2 linked regions of the Drosophila melanogaster genome follow. The protein of the gene in region 1 purifies or fractionates together with the protein of each later gene. This does not show direct contact. Each region holds a gene or a part of one and is shown in the gene's direction. Other genes may lie near its edges. The genes, in order: Syx4 and Snap29.

Region 1 (9,613 bases):
CCCGACCTTAAAGTTTCAAGCTGATAAAATATTACTAAACATGGATAGATCACTAAAAAGCACTTGCACTACTCCAATCAATAATTAGTATATATAATAAAGATACTGCTTGGCAAAATAGCGGTATGGAAATAAAAAGGGACAATCAAACCGTACATTACTCATACGCCCCGTGGGTCTCGAGAGAATGCGAGCCACCCACCTACAGATGTATGTATGGGAATACAAACCAAACTCGCCCCTGACATCCAACAAGTTTAATTAAAACACAAACTAAGAGCATAAACAAATGAATAATTCACATTACGATGTGGTGCACGCCCCCACGTGAAGGACCCTTCTTCTCTGTGAACCATCGAAACCAAACACTTATCCTGACCGCAACTAGTCAAAAATTTGCATTGAAAAAAAAAACCGAACAAGAACCAGAACCAGAAACACCATGAAAGTGGGAGTGAGGGGACTTTTTTTGGTTTCTGGTTTTTGGTTTTTGCGTTGGTGTGACTTTTATGCAAATGGAAGAGAGAAATATGAAATTTCGTTGCATAGTTTTGGGCGCGTATTTAAATTGGTGCGGATCAACCTTCTCATCCTTTTTAACCCATCGCCCTGCACTTGCAGCTTGCCTTAAAGGCTTTAAAAGCAATTTGTCTACAGTTGTGTTTGGCACGTGAAATATTTGGATATTTTCCTCCGCCAATTTGGGCATGGCAACCAAGCACGGGTATACCGAGAGATGCCAACCCGGTTTAATTCTGTTTAATCAGTATTAGGAATTCAATATATTTATTTGGAATGATCCGAATGGTTCATACTCAAACGAAACATTTCTAAAATTTAATGTTTAATGGCGTGCGAAGATAGATAAAAATATGAACTGAGAACTACAGGATATCGGCAGGTCTAAGCCATTTTTGCAAGAGTTCAATTATTTATCATATTTTTTGTAAATGTTGCCCTATTTTTTTTGTTTTTTTCTTTTTGACGAGTGCGAATTTAATCAAAAGTCAAAAAGCGCACACACTTGCCGACCCCACCGCCCCAGTTGATTTTCCCAAAGCTATCGCTTTTCCACCGCACCGCCAGCGCTTTCCATCAGTTTCCATTTCTCGTTTTGTGCGTGAGCCTCTGACCCAAATAAAAACAAACAAAAATAACAACAGAAGTGGTAACTAAGGTGGGGACAACGCACAAAAAGACTCATCAAAAACTCATAAATTTGCAATTTTCGACACATGACAAAATAAATTGTAAACAAAGGAAAGCGCGAAAGCCGAGAAAACTAACAAAAAACGGGCACAATAAACTTGACTGCCTATAACAATATCTCCGCTTTTCCGACCCCTTTGTTTATGGAAAAGCAATGGAAAAAGGTGAAAAGCGGGTGTTAAACGCAGGGAATATGAATATGTTGCTGTTTTGCCAACAATTTGCACTAAAAAAATAAGTGAATAGATAATAATAACCTGGAATACATTTTAGACTTACAGTCCGCAATGCAAATAAAGGCGGGAAAAACAAGAATTTCATCTTTTTGTATTCTCATTACCTAAACTCAATGAATCCCATGGATTGATAAAAATAAACTGCTTTGTATAGCCACTCCACCTAAATTGAGTTTTGCTTTGTTATGCAGTTTTTTTTTTTAACTTTACAGCACAAAAGTGACAATATCTTCATTGAGTCAGAGTTCTATACGATCGTTTGTAAATAAAAGCGGATTCACGACTTTCGAGCAATTGAATGCCTCTTAATAACGAGTTGGCAAGAAATCGTCGACTAATAAAATGATATTGGAACTCACAAAACCTTCCGAATGTATCTGATAAGCGATTGGCGGTTCGAATTCCACGACGGGGTCACAAAAAAAACATGACTTATATGACTCATTTTAAAAGCCAAACAAAAAAAAAATAAAGCAAAAATAAAGTAACAAGTTCAAGCTCAGAAACATCAGTTTATCTCAATCTCAATTAATTGGTATTTTGCAATAAAAAGTAAATGTTCATGTTTAAAGGGTGTATTAAAGGGTATTCGCGAATTCACATATTCCACATTGAATTTCCAAATCGATTTAAATGTTTTAACCTTATGGCGCTACATGCAGTTCAATTCAAAGTATCAGTATATCACGTATACGTATGCTTTTTATACAATCATTAGAGAGGGAAGAATTCGCGACACGATTCTTTTCTGCCGTCTTTTTAAATGGCATGGCAACTTGAGAAGAATTGCGAACCAAATGAGAAATGGAAATTCGCAACTGTCTGGTGTTGATGGTTTTATTTTTCTTGTTATTGTTGTTGACGTAGTTGAGGGCAGTTCATAAGCTTCGTTTTGCAACCGCAAGAATTGCTAATATAAAGCGGGTAGACCATCTAGCTACCCAGTAAGCAAAATAGCAATAAATTTATTATGGGAAACTTTCGAAGAAACAAGCAACTGAACTGTGCTTAAGAAGTATAATTTACACAAGCGTTTTGAAGGGATCAAGTTGTAAAAAGTGGTGAGTACAACGCTTGACAATGAATTTACACCCTTGACCTACATAGATGCGACCCGCTGATACCCTGTAAATGCATATGGTGGCACAGTACAAAGCCAGCAATAGAAAAAAGTTCAACTAATTAGCGCAAGTGACTTTTGAACGTTCTCGTCGCAGGTTTATTTCTCTTACTCGGTCTTTTATTTCAATTGAACGGCAACATGGAGCGTGAAAAGTGCGACAACAACAGCAAAAGGCGGCAGAGCAATGTAGAAATGTTTACCATACAACAGAGTAGAAATAATAATAAAAACAATTAACACATTTTTCTCCGCCGCCTAACCAGTTTTCATTTCGGTGGCAAAGACGATTTATTCATTTTATTCGGAGACAACAAAAAATGTAGATCGCCACTAACTACACATAATGTAGTACGAGTCTCTATCTTTATCTCTCTCCAGCTAAAGCACATGAACGTACATATCAAATACACCGAAGTTCATGAAATCGAATACCTTCGTATATTCAAATCACAATTCTATTGCTGCATTTAATGTACATTTTTGAATTTTTCATAACTAATTTGAATTTGGATTAGGCCCAATGAATTTATACCATAAAATGCCTATTATTTTGGCCCAGGCTGTAGCCAGAGTGTTTGCTGTCTTTAATCTTTTTGAATTGAAAGAAATCTCGACGCGACTGGGAGGCTCTGCGTTTTTGTGCCGGCGTCGATTTTTTAGTTCGAAAACGTATGCGGCGCGGTGAAGACAAAGGAATTGATTTTCAATAAATCGAATAAAATGTAGCCGAATGTATTTACATGTTAAATTTTAAAAATACATAAAGCTAGTTTTTCCCATAATCCAATTTTTTTCTTTTTTGTGTTTGTGTGTGTGTGCAACAAAAGAGCGAGTAAGAGAGCAAAGAGCCGCCAATAAATGGCAAATATGTGATAGGTGATAATCTGTGTTTAGGCCTTTCTGACTGTCCCTCTCTCTCTCTCTCTCTCTCTCCATGACTTTCCACCCCGCCCTGTCGCTTTCCGAAGGGCAGACGGTAAATATTAGGCGGCTCTTATCAGAAACTTGTGCGCTGATAAGCTTTGATAGCAGGTTTCGCTCTCTCCTGCGCTCTCAATCAAATTTTCCCATTCGCGAACAGCTGTTGGAGGCAACGGCAACAACAAACCAGGAACAAAGCTCAGAAGCTGCTGTAAAGGATATAAAGTGGACATTTTGGAGTACTGGAAAGGAATTCAAGGAATTGGCATAAATTTGGCATATAATTGGCATAATTCAAACCAAAGGCAGTCCAAGTTGCAGAAATGGGTAAAGATCGACTGCCCGAGCTTTTGCAGGTAAGAAAATATTAGAAACGTGGGTGGTTGGTTGGGAGGTTGGGATGAGGTAACTGCTAATTAGTTTGAAGCACAGTGGTTTGGCATCACTCAAACCGCAATACGAATAAAATCTACTTAACACGATGAAATACATTTGGTGGTATTTGCCAGGAAAAGGATTCCACTTTTCTCGGTAAAAAGTAATCCTAATCAAAGTTTTTTTTTTTTTTGCGGCACGTTGAAACACATTCTGACCAAGGTGCTGCCACCTTCTTTACAATTGGCCCAATCTCTCACATTTCTGTTGGCGCTTTTGGCACTATTTCGACTTGTGAGCCAAGGGGGTTTGGTGGGTGTTCGCTATGGCATTTATCAGATCGGCCAGAGATAACGACGATAATGTGGCCACACATCACACTTACGGGGCAACCCCGCGTTTCCGCCGACAAACTTTTAGCACCAAGTGAATTTCAGTACCGAAGTCATTTTTATAGTTCATTTACACCGCGCCAGATTGTGAACACACAAACGTAAATAAACTCAACCAAAGTTGTTAGTTTCAATTTAGTTTTTTCTCAGTTTTTCCCTGCAGTTCGTTAGGATCGCATGGACCTATTTTATTTTTATTTATTTATTTTTTTTTCTTCTCATTTTTGCTGTACTAATTCCAGCGCTCATTGAGCACGAACTCGTCGAACTCGTCGTCGAACGGTTCACTGCTTTTGAACGTGTACAGTGGAACCACGGAGTTCATCATTGGCAACACCGGCGGTAACAATAATAGCTACAGTGTCGTTAGCCAAAACTCTCACAGCTGCAGCAACAATAACAGCAGCACCGAACCCAAGGATCGGTCCAGTTCAAAGATGACGCAGTATGGCTCGAATGTGGATGACATACTCAATCCGGTGAGTTTAAGGATCGAAGTGTATACAAAACACAACTTCAGAATTCATACAAGTTTTTACTATTATTGAGTATTGAAATAGTTAATAGAAGAAACTTTAACTCCTAAGATAGCTATCTTGAAAGTTATAAATACTTAGCGAAGCAAGAACATACAACAGAAAGCAGCTAATATCTAGCATAGTTAAACGTTTCCCCTCAATGGAAATAAAAGATCAGAGAGCCGGAGAGAGGGAAACCCTTTTTTTCTTTTTTATGGCTTACCCACACATGTGTGCACTTATGAATCAGCTGTATTACTCAATCGCTGCCGGCGTAGCGCGAAAACTCGTGATAAGTCCAGAAAAAAAAAAAAACATTTTCTCATTAAATACGTTTTTTATTGTGGTTAAGAGAGCGGACGAAGAGAAGGCAAGTAGTCGCCATGTAAACGTAAACAACGGTAGACAACTCTTGCAAAGCAAAAAAGCAATACAAGCACTGCTTCCTCCTGAGCAAGGAAATGTACTGGAAATGCAATGGAAGTGAATATACGATTTTAATAGATTTTTACGGTATCCTTCCTTTTCAGTACACGGAGATTCGCCAACAACTCGCACAGATAGCCGCCAACTTGGAGACGATGAACCGCATGGCCCAAACTGTCAATCTGCGAACTTTCAACGGTAAGAATTTGAATCTAAAGTTGTGAATACTTCCACTGCATCACGGTCTAAATCCAATTCGCACAGAGAACGAGATGGATGAGCTTCACAACAAAAACCTGAGGCTGGGCAATCAGCTAATGACGCGATTCAACGACTTCAAGGCGAATCTGCCGGCGGAAAACGATTACAGCTTGGAGGCAAGGATGAAAAGAACCCTTTTCTATGGACTCCACCAGACTTTCATCAATCTGTGGCACAAAAACGAACTATTCCTGCAGAACTACGAGACCAAGGTCAAAAAGAATCTGAGACTGCATACAAAAATCAGTAAGTGTGATACAAAATGGACGAGTCTGATTAAATGCTTTGCAACTATTACATTATTTTGTTTAAGAACTTCGTTACAATCTACTTTTTAGTTAATTCTGAAGCCAGCGAACAAGAAATCGAGTTACTCATCGAGAACAAGACAACCAAACTCTTTGTGGATAATGTGAGTAAAGAAAGAATTATACAAACAACTAAGTCTTCTGTCTGATATGATTCCTTATCAAAGGTTTCATAAACATATATATTTTAATATGTTCGGCATTTAGTATGTAGTTTAAATGACATTTTATACAATCTAGGACTATTAGCTACTAAATATTACTCAGTAGAGCGCAACTCACCTCGATGTTGTATTCATTTTTCATTTCATTTGACTTTATCGCATCTATAATTTGCGAGACGATCATTTTCATATCACTTTAAGTAAAGCTTTACACAGAAAAAAAAAAAATTTGGGATTTTAATAGCTAATAGGATATAATCACTTTCGCAACTTTTTCAACACTGGAACACCATAAAAAAAATGAAAAAAAAAACACTGAAGCTCATTTGGTGTAACACCCACACACCTTCATACATACATACATATGTATGAAATTATTTTGCTCAAACGCAAAATTACCGCGAATTTAGGAAAAAAAATGCTTCGTATCACAATGCCTATACTCGCATTTACTCGAGTAACAGCACTAAACAACGGTAAATTCAATAAACTTAATTTCGCGGTGCGCAGTTAAAAAACACGTGCGTATGTCGATGCTCACGAAGAAGAAGGAAAGAGGAAGTTTAAACAGGGAATGATCAAGGGCCAACGGTAAATCAAACTCATACATACTCTCTCTGTTTCCCGCTGTTGTATTAACATCATCTATTAGTTAATGAGGCTGTTAAATAAGGCATTATGTTCTGCAATACAGATTATCACATACGTTGATTAATTATATTGGTTGAGTGGTTAGGCTATACATTTTTATATTGAATAGAATATATTTTCAAACTCAGTGGTTCACCATCAAAAAATATAAAAAAAGAAGTGGAAGCTAATTTACCGCAACACACACATTACATTACATACATGTGTAAATAGATGTTAGCACACACATTCTATACATACAAACATATTTCGCGCGCCATTGAAAACGCAAAATTACAGCGAATTTAGGAAGAAAAACGCGCAAATGCTTCGCATCACAATGCGCATACTCGCATTTACTCAAGTAACACTTTTCACCATCTAAAGATCGTTGAATTCAATAAACTTTATTTCGCGGCGCGCAGTTAAAAAACACGTGCGTATGTCGATGCTCGGGAAGAAGAAGGAATGAGGAAGATTTAAACAGGGAATGATCAAGGGCCAACGGTAAATCAAACTCATATGCACTCTCTCTGTTTGCCGCTGTTGTTTTAACATCATCTATTAGTTAATGAGGATGTTAAATAAAGCATTATGTTCTGCAATACAGATTATCACGTACATAGATTAATTACATTAGCCGTATAGCTAAGCTATACATATTTATATATATAATAGAAACTCAGTGGTTCACCATAAAAAAAAAGTGGAAGCTTATTTAGCGCAACACACACATTGTGTATGTTCATACATACATATGTAAATGCGGATTTTAGCGCGCACATTCTATACACACAAACATATTTCGCGCGCCATTGAAAACGCCAAATTACCGCGAACTTAGAAAGAAAAAGCGCGCAAATGCTTCGTATCACAATGCCGATACTTACATTTACATCTAAACCATGTTAAATACAACAAACCTCATTTCGCGACGCACAATTAAAAATCACGTGCGTATTTGGATGTGGCTGAGAAAAAGGGAAGAGGAAGACTTGAAGAGAAAACGATCAAGGACCAACGGTAAATCAATAAAATAAGATCTTCACCCGCCCTTTCTAACATTCTCTGTTAATTAACCTTCAATTTAACACAAAATGTAAAGATCAAAAGGTATTTGTATTGCAAATAGTAAATAAATGTAGACATTTGCTTAATCTTTATAATAACAATTTTTGTATTTTTAGTTTCTGCAGGAAACGGAAAAGGAGCGGCAGACACTGCGCGAAATGATGGATCGATTCAACGAGCTGCGCCGCCTGGAGAAGTCCATCGAGGAGGTGCACGCCCTGTTCATGCGCATCCAGACCCTGGTAATGGAGCAGAGCGAGGTGATCCAGCGGGTGGAGTTTCACGCCCAGCAGGCCACGCTCCACGTGGACAAGGGCGCCGACGAGCTGGACCAGGCGGAGCAGCACCAGAAGAAGGCGCGCAAGGTGGGCACACTGCGAATCCCCGAGAGCGTTGGGTTCTAAAAGGCATTTTCCCTTGTATTTGCAGAAAAAGATAATGCTCATCGTGATACTCGCAGCCGTGTTGCTAGTATTACTCCTTGTTGGTATTTATTTGTGATGCACGCGAGAAACTTTATTTTTTTGGCCTATTTTTAAAATTTATACGTAAGAAAATAAACTTTAAAACCTCAAGAAGAATTTTTGCAATTAATCAACAGGTAAAGGAAATCAATAAAAGCTTATGCTATTGAGAGCGTGCTCTATTCTGAGTCCCTTTAAATCATTAGTTTGTTTGTTTCGTGTGGATTTTGTATATTTTTATTAAATTTAATATGTAAATAAGATAACGGTTAGTTCAAAGGGTACGCATTTAGCTGGAAAGCAGCCAGGAAACGAAAGCTGCGGCTAGAACTAGCCATTGGCGGCTGTAAAACAACCGAGCGGGCATCGCTGCGGGTAAACAAAACAACTTAACAGCAACCACTTCGCGCCTAACAGCACACACTGCACTGTTGATACCACACTGTTGGCCAACATCAACATCCCTGGCGTCTCGTTAATAAGTTTTTTATATAGTCGTTTGGCACCGATTTTCCATGTCTGATTTGTAGGTGAGTGCACGTCGGAGCTTGGGAAAGCCTTCGAGATCATTTCTGGTCGGTAGTGGATTAGCCCGGGCGCGCGGTTCAGCGACAATACCAAGCAATCGGACGGTTCGGCGCCATTTTCCCACTTTTCCCGGAAGACTACGCAGTTTAATTGATATTGCCATTGATTGATCCTGTCTAGGAGGCAAGCGGATGTGGATTGGCCAACATGGAGGAACTGTCCAAGCAGCCGCCGCCACCCCCGCTGACGCAGCCGCCGCCGCCGTCGTCATCCGTGTCCATTGAGGAGCCGCTGCCAAATGGCAAGGGAGGAGGAGCAGTAGTTGTTAACTCGATAGCTAAGCTGCCCGAGGAGGAGCTCCTCGGCTCGGTGACCATGCACAATTGTCCGGGAACGCGGGCCAGTGCCCGGGTCATACAGAAGATGAAGCAGGACCAGACGCGCCCGATGACACCGCCGCCCAGCGAACGGGAGCCGAACAAAAAGGAGGAGAAGGCCGCCCAAAAGACGCCCAGCCAGCTGAAGACGGGCAGCGGGAAGACCACCTGGACGAATGTGGAGCGCAACTGCTTCTTCGACGCCCTCAACGAATTCGGCAAGGACTTCGAGGCGGTGGCCAACTGCATCAATGCCAAGCTGAAGCGCCGCAATGCCAACAGCGACTATAGTTTCAAAACCAAGGACCAAGTTCGCCAGCACTATTACCAGACCCATCACAAGATTTGCAAATATGTGCGCTTCTCGGAGGGTAAGAAGAAGGGTCAAACTGGATATGACATGTCCCGAAATGTTAAATTAACAAGCTATTGGCAAAATAATGCGTTAATAAGGTCACAGTTAGCTTGTTTCGGTTTCCCGGAAAAATAGATTTTCGGCGCCAAAAACCTCGTGCCTCGGTTAATTCCTAGAATTCAACTAGCGTTGCCATTTTGCCATTGGCCTTCATTTCATTTCGCAATTGCTGGACAATTTTGTAACTTTAATCAA
Region 2 (5,802 bases), on another chromosome or scaffold:
ACTCTTTTTATAAGATAGTAGGCATGAATTTTTGTACGCCTCAACGAGCTAACTATTTTAAGCAACAGTTTCAGTTACCCATTTCTTTGCGTTTGGAAAACAGCCACATGTATTGGAAAATTTGAACCATTTTGGACCAGCACCACTCACACACATCTTATAACAATTATTTGTAGTTTTACACACACGAAATTGCAGGGATTTTGTCTTATTTCATATTCTCCTACAATAAACTGATAATAAATTTGTAAAACCATTAATGTTCATGTTGTTTATGTGGTGTTAACTGTGAATGAAACTAATGGATTTTCCATTTCAAATATACATACGTGCATATGTGAAATTTCTTTGGGATCCAAATTATTTAGAAGCGCAAAGTAAACAAAGCCAGTTTAAATTGTATGTTTTTTTTTATTATTTTGTAATACGAAAATTTAATACAATTTGCGATTGAAGTACAATTACAAATGAAATGCTTAAGAGAAATGAATTGTGTGGAAACCAAGTTGAACACAAAATACAAAAATGCTTGGCAAAAGGTAAAAATATACGACTAAAGTTACATTTAGTTATTGTTACGCTTGCTATCGCTTAATGGATTGCAATTTTGCTTTACATAATTATGAAATACATGGGGCGCCGTTTTCTGGCTAGGATTAGAAGGAGGGAAAACAATCGGTTTTGTGCGCGAAGGCAGAGCAGACGGATTATGTCCGCTCGAATGATGCTTGGGTAAGAGGTTGTGTTCCTCTCGATTCAGTGTGTTAGTCTTTTTGTTGCCGCTTCTGATGATCGCTAAGGCTGAAGATCCGCAGGGACCCCGCTGCACCTAATCGCCTTTGCGAGGCTTGCGCTTGCGCACCTGTTCCGTCTTCTCGGGCGCAGCATCGCCGGCCTGCTTGGGCTCCGGCTTCTCTTCCTTTTCCGGCTCGCTGTCGGCCTCCTTCTCTTTAGTGGCCAGATCGCCCACCTGCTCCTCGCTGTCCTCTTCCTCTTCGTCGTCGTCCTCCTGTTCTTCCTCGTCGCTATCGCGTTGCTCGTCATCGTTCTCCTCGGCGTCGCCATCATCCTCGATCTCCTCGGTTGCCAAATCCTCCAGGCCCTCGGTCAGATTGTCCTGGGACTCGGAGAAGCTCTGGCGCTGCGACTTCTTGGGTGGGTAGACAAAGTCCACAAGGCACACGAGCAGCAGCCCCAGGGCAGCGCCCACGAAGATGGTGGCGATGGCGAAGAGGGCGTAGGAGCCCCACGTGGGCAGTCCGTATTCCTCCTGCAGGCGCCCGTTGAAGTCCTTAAAGAGTTTTTGCGTATGCTATTAGTACATGAACCCAACATACAAGACAACAGCAGAGAGCAAAGACCAGAGTAATGAGTGATGGGCGGCAATCTTTTGTGGGTCAACGGGATCAACCCGCTGATAAGCTTCCGCTTATGTCTCATGCAGTGAACCGATGCGATAATGGGCTAGGTGAACGTACCTTCAGAGTGTGCGAAAGCTTGAAGAAGTAGGACAGCACGGACATGTGGGTGGTGTCGGGCTTCTTCCAGGCGGACAGCGGTTCGATGCTCTGCCACTGCTGCTTCTTCACGAAGTAGAGGAGGGCGTCGCCATCACGGGCCCCACGATACTGCCGGAACTCGCCATCTTTTACGCTGGAAATGATTGACGTGGATTACGACGATGTGTATTTCATGGGTTGAAAAGGTCTATGTGGTGCTCACTGGTAGATGGTGGGGAGGGCGGTGACAAAGAAGCGTCCACTCAGCGAGGGCGAGGTTGTCACGTCGATTTTGGCCACCTGCACCTGGACATCCTTGGCCACGCGGGCAAACCGCTCCCAGGTGGGAGCCAGGTTCTTGCAGGCCGGGCACCATGGAGCAAAGCTGTGAATGGAGGGAGAAACATATGTTTAACACAGCTGCCGATGAGTCATCGTCGCCGCAAAGGAATGTCTGGTATTTCGGAGAACGAAAGAACCAGCTTGCCGGCTGGAGAAAGCCGGCGCACCACGCCCCTTTATGTTACGTCAGGGGCAGCGGGGTTTCATGTGGGTAGGGACTACTCAGAGCCACCCTTTCGCACTCACAACTCGATCATCCATTCGCCCTGGAGCATCAGGTGCCAGTTGTCCTCGTCCAACTCGATTAACTTGCCACCTGGCTGCAGTCCTGACTGCGCTGCTGCCGTCGACTGCGCCGTCGCCGCCAGCAGAAGCAGCGCCGCGCATGTCGCGGCCACAAAGTACGATGTGCTATGCATGTGGTGATGTTTTGGTGCTTTGCTCCGCCGATTCGTGTCCTGAAACCTGTGACGTTCGGCTGCGACAGTTTCTTAAATTAAACTAAAGCTTCCGTCTTGGTCAGTTCCAAAAAGTTACAGAAACTGCGACGCCTGCTGGAAAATTGACAGAAGTGCTGGTTCGATATCCATCGGAGATGGCAAGCCGCTTTATTCCCCGCTAGATCATCGGTAGGGGGATTCGGTCGGTATTCGCTCGTTACACGATTTTTTATTTATTAGATCAAGCTTCAAGTTTTCTTACATACAAATTCAATTTTTATCGTATCTTCAAAATCATTTTAATTATAATAACTTATTTTATTGAAGCCTCTGCAATGTCAAGCTATTTATAAGTCGATTGAACTGCATACAAATACTACATTTGTACCATCGCTATTGCAATCGATAACTCCAGACAACAACAAAGAAAATAAAAGTTTACGAAAACATAACAAAATTCGACATTTTGGAAGTTTCCCTCGCCACAAGAAATGGCCCATAACTACCTGCAGCCAGTGCACGATCACTTCGATGACGTGGACAGATTCGAGGACGTGGACGACGACCTATTCCTGCAGAACAAACGGACGGGAGCAGCCAAGCTTCCGCAGCAGAGGAGCACCAATCCCTTCGAGATGGATGACGATGACGAAGAGGAGATAACCTCGTCGCCATCAGTGGCCGCACAGCGACTGGCCTATGCTGAGAAGCGAAGGGCCATTGAGCAGCGAACTCTGGACTCTACCAACAAAAGCTTGGGTAAACATGGGGTCAATTGCCAGCCAATTAAGGGGCGTTATTGATGCGTCTCTCTCCTACAACCCCCAGGTCTGCTCTACGAAACCCAGGAGGTGGGTAAGGCGACGGCCGTGGAGCTGGCCAAGCAGCGGGAGCAACTGGAGAAGACATCACATCAGTTGGACGAGATCAGCTCCACGCTGCGCTTCAGCCAGCGCCATCTGACTGGTCTGAAGAGTGTCTTCGGCGGCCTCAAGAACTACCTTTCGGGCAACAGGGACCAACCACCCACCGCGACTGGTTCGCCCACGGGCAGTCAGTCCTCCCAGGAGGCCAATAGCAACATTAACCAGGGTGCCTGTGGCGGTGCTAGCCCCTCGGCTCCGCTATCACCAGCGGAGCGCTACGACAATCATCCGGTTAGCCAGCTGCGTGGTGATCCCAGCAGCACCTACCAGCCCCAGCGACAGGCGGCCAATCCCTTCCAGGCCCAGATCGATTCCAATCTGGAGGAGATGTGCAGCAACCTGTCGGTGCTGAAGATGCTGGCCACCGATCTGGGTGGCGAAATTGAGTCGCAAAATGAATTGCTGGATAACATGAACTACAAAATTGAGGATGTCGACTTGAAGATTCACAAGCAGAACAAGGACATGAGCAAGCTTCTGAAGAAGTGAACAAGCGAGCATTCGCATACTATTGTATTGATCATTGCTTAGAATAGCCCTCCCTTAATATACAAATCTTAGCCATACCATATCGCACGGTGAGCACTTCACAAGGCCATTAAGAATGCATTCCTCATTATGTTTCCTAGTTTTTTATTGTTACACACACCAAAACAATTCTCTCAATGGAGTGCTCGTAGTTGGAGAGCGATAAGTGTTCAGTTTTAAATAAAGATTCATATAAAAAGCAAGTATATCTGGCCTAGTGTTTCCCCGTCTGGATTGGAATACATTATACATTTTCGGAAGATATCTCGAGTTGCAGTGCTCGCGCCCTAATAAAGATATATAGTTCTTTGTTTGAATTCGATAACTTCCGGACAACAGCGACCAATCGATTCGCTAAAGCTATCAAGCAATCGAATTCCAGTTGATACCATCGCTGGAAAGCTCTTTTCTCAAACGCATCCAAAAGAATAGCGCCAACTCAGCGCATTCCGGAATTCGTTTCGTAAATATTCTGTAAATTTTGCGATAATGGAAGAAAACTTCGAACCGTACACCCCACAGTTGCTCAAGAATCCCTTGTCCTATTCGTGAGTAATAAGATACATATTAAAGGCACTCATGACCACGTGCAACTCATTCTGCAGGGATCTCGTGAAAAAGGGCGTTGAGTTCGAGGTCGACAATTCGCAGCAGAACCATGCCAGGGATCTGGGTCTCGACAGCGACAGCGACAGCGACTACGAGGATGCGCTGGACGTGGACGGCGAGGAGCTACGTTCACCGTGGACATATTCATTCGACGAACTGCGTGCGCTGATGAGCGAGATCGACGAAAACATTTACAAGCGGATCACTCGCACCGGTCACGTGGATCGGGAGGCGGTGCCGAACAAGGCTAGGGTCTCGGTTCGGTACAGTGGCTACTGGGAGGGCGAGACCGCTCCCTTCGACTCCTCCCTGCTGCGGGGCAGCAAATTCGTGTTTGAAACTGGCCAGGGAACGGTGGTTGAAGGCCTGGAGGTCGCCGTCCGCAGCATGCGTCCTTACGAGCAGGCCGAGTTTATAATCTCCTACAAGCTGCTTTTCGGAGAACTCGGTTGCCCTCCGCGGATCAAGCCCAAGGCGGATGCGCTCTTTAAAGTGGAGGTAATTGACTACTCGCTCATAGGAGATGCGAAGGGCATCGATGCTATCCCCCAAGAAGACCGCGACAAGTTTTGTGTGGTCTATCCGAAGGCTGTCGACTTGCACCTACATGGCAAGGACTCGGTGAAGCTCGGACGCTATCAGAGTGCAGCAACTGCCTTCGAACGGGCAGTGAGCTCACTGAACTACTGCCGAATGGCCAATGACGAGGAGGAGCGCAAGCAAACTGAACTGCTTACTACCCTGAACGTAAGTGGCCAACAAGAATAGCTTGCAGAGGCAGCGTTCTCGACCAGGCAGTTGATTCCTTGTCTCCTTTCTCAGCAAAACCTGATGATCGTTTACAACAAGATGAACAAGCCGAAGCGCGCCTGCATCATGATGAAGGCCTTACGGCACCTGACCATGGGCAATCCGTCTTGCAAGGCGCTCTTCCAGGAGGGACGCGCCCTGGCCGCTCTGGGCGAGTACAACTTGGCCCGCAACGCTTACCTGCAGGCGCAGGCCAAGCAGCCGGCGAACAAGGAGATCAGCGACGAGATTATCAGCATGAACAAGAGAATCAGCAAGTATGAGGAGGCCAGTCGCGATATATGGGCACGTGCCTTCTCGTTAAAGAACTCAAAGTCAGACGTCCGCAAAACGCCTGCTCAGCTGGAGAAGGAGGCAAAGGAACAGGATTTCAATGACAAAATGGAAGATTTGATTAGGCGGTTTAAGAACACTTCAGATCAACAAGTGAGCTTTTCACGTAAATCTTATTCGAACGCTCAGTTCGACGCGACTTGCAAATTGGCCAAGGAACACAACCTGAAGCTAACTTTGTCTCCCATCCAAGAGGATGTTCTGACATTGTCTAAGCCGGATGTTAAGTTCGCTTGAGCTTACTAAGAAGCCCCAGTATTTCATATTTCATATCTTACTCAAAAAAAAAAACATACCAAACATGAAGGTAATTTA

What was found.
Region 2: the proteins of Syx4 (region 1) and Snap29 purify together in Drosophila melanogaster (affinity purification with mass spectrometry; 2 studies listed by BioGRID). This does not show direct contact.

Annotation. Positions count from the first base shown.
Region 1 is NC_004354.4:2,737,683-2,747,295, reverse strand, and holds Syx4 (syntaxin 4), read left to right. Parts: upstream 1-3,219; 5' UTR 3,220-3,812; coding exon 3,813-3,845; intron 3,846-4,337; exon of another isoform or gene 4,338-4,379; intron 4,380-4,498; coding exon 4,499-4,735; intron 4,736-5,304; coding exon 5,305-5,398; intron 5,399-5,464; coding exon 5,465-5,707; intron 5,708-5,799; coding exon 5,800-5,873; intron 5,874-6,051; exon of another isoform or gene 6,052-6,139; intron 6,140-6,291; exon of another isoform or gene 6,292-6,491; intron 6,492-6,824; exon of another isoform or gene 6,825-6,912; intron 6,913-7,750; coding exon 7,751-7,999; intron 8,000-8,063; coding exon 8,064-8,135; 3' UTR 8,136-8,207; downstream 8,208-9,613. Other genes in the region: crm (cramped), read left to right, coding at 8,834-9,374. UniProt on the Drosophila melanogaster protein: Potentially involved in docking of synaptic vesicles at presynaptic active zones.
Region 2 is NT_033778.4:23,841,617-23,847,418, reverse strand, and holds Snap29 (Synaptosomal-associated protein 29kDa), read left to right. Parts: upstream 1-2,655; 5' UTR 2,656-2,772; coding exon 2,773-3,040; intron 3,041-3,109; coding exon 3,110-3,696; 3' UTR 3,697-3,936; downstream 3,937-5,802. Other genes in the region: CG5554 (uncharacterized protein), read right to left, coding at 830-1,312, 1,479-1,653, 1,723-1,884, 2,088-2,260; shu (shutdown), read left to right, coding at 4,225-4,283, 4,341-5,091, 5,167-5,724.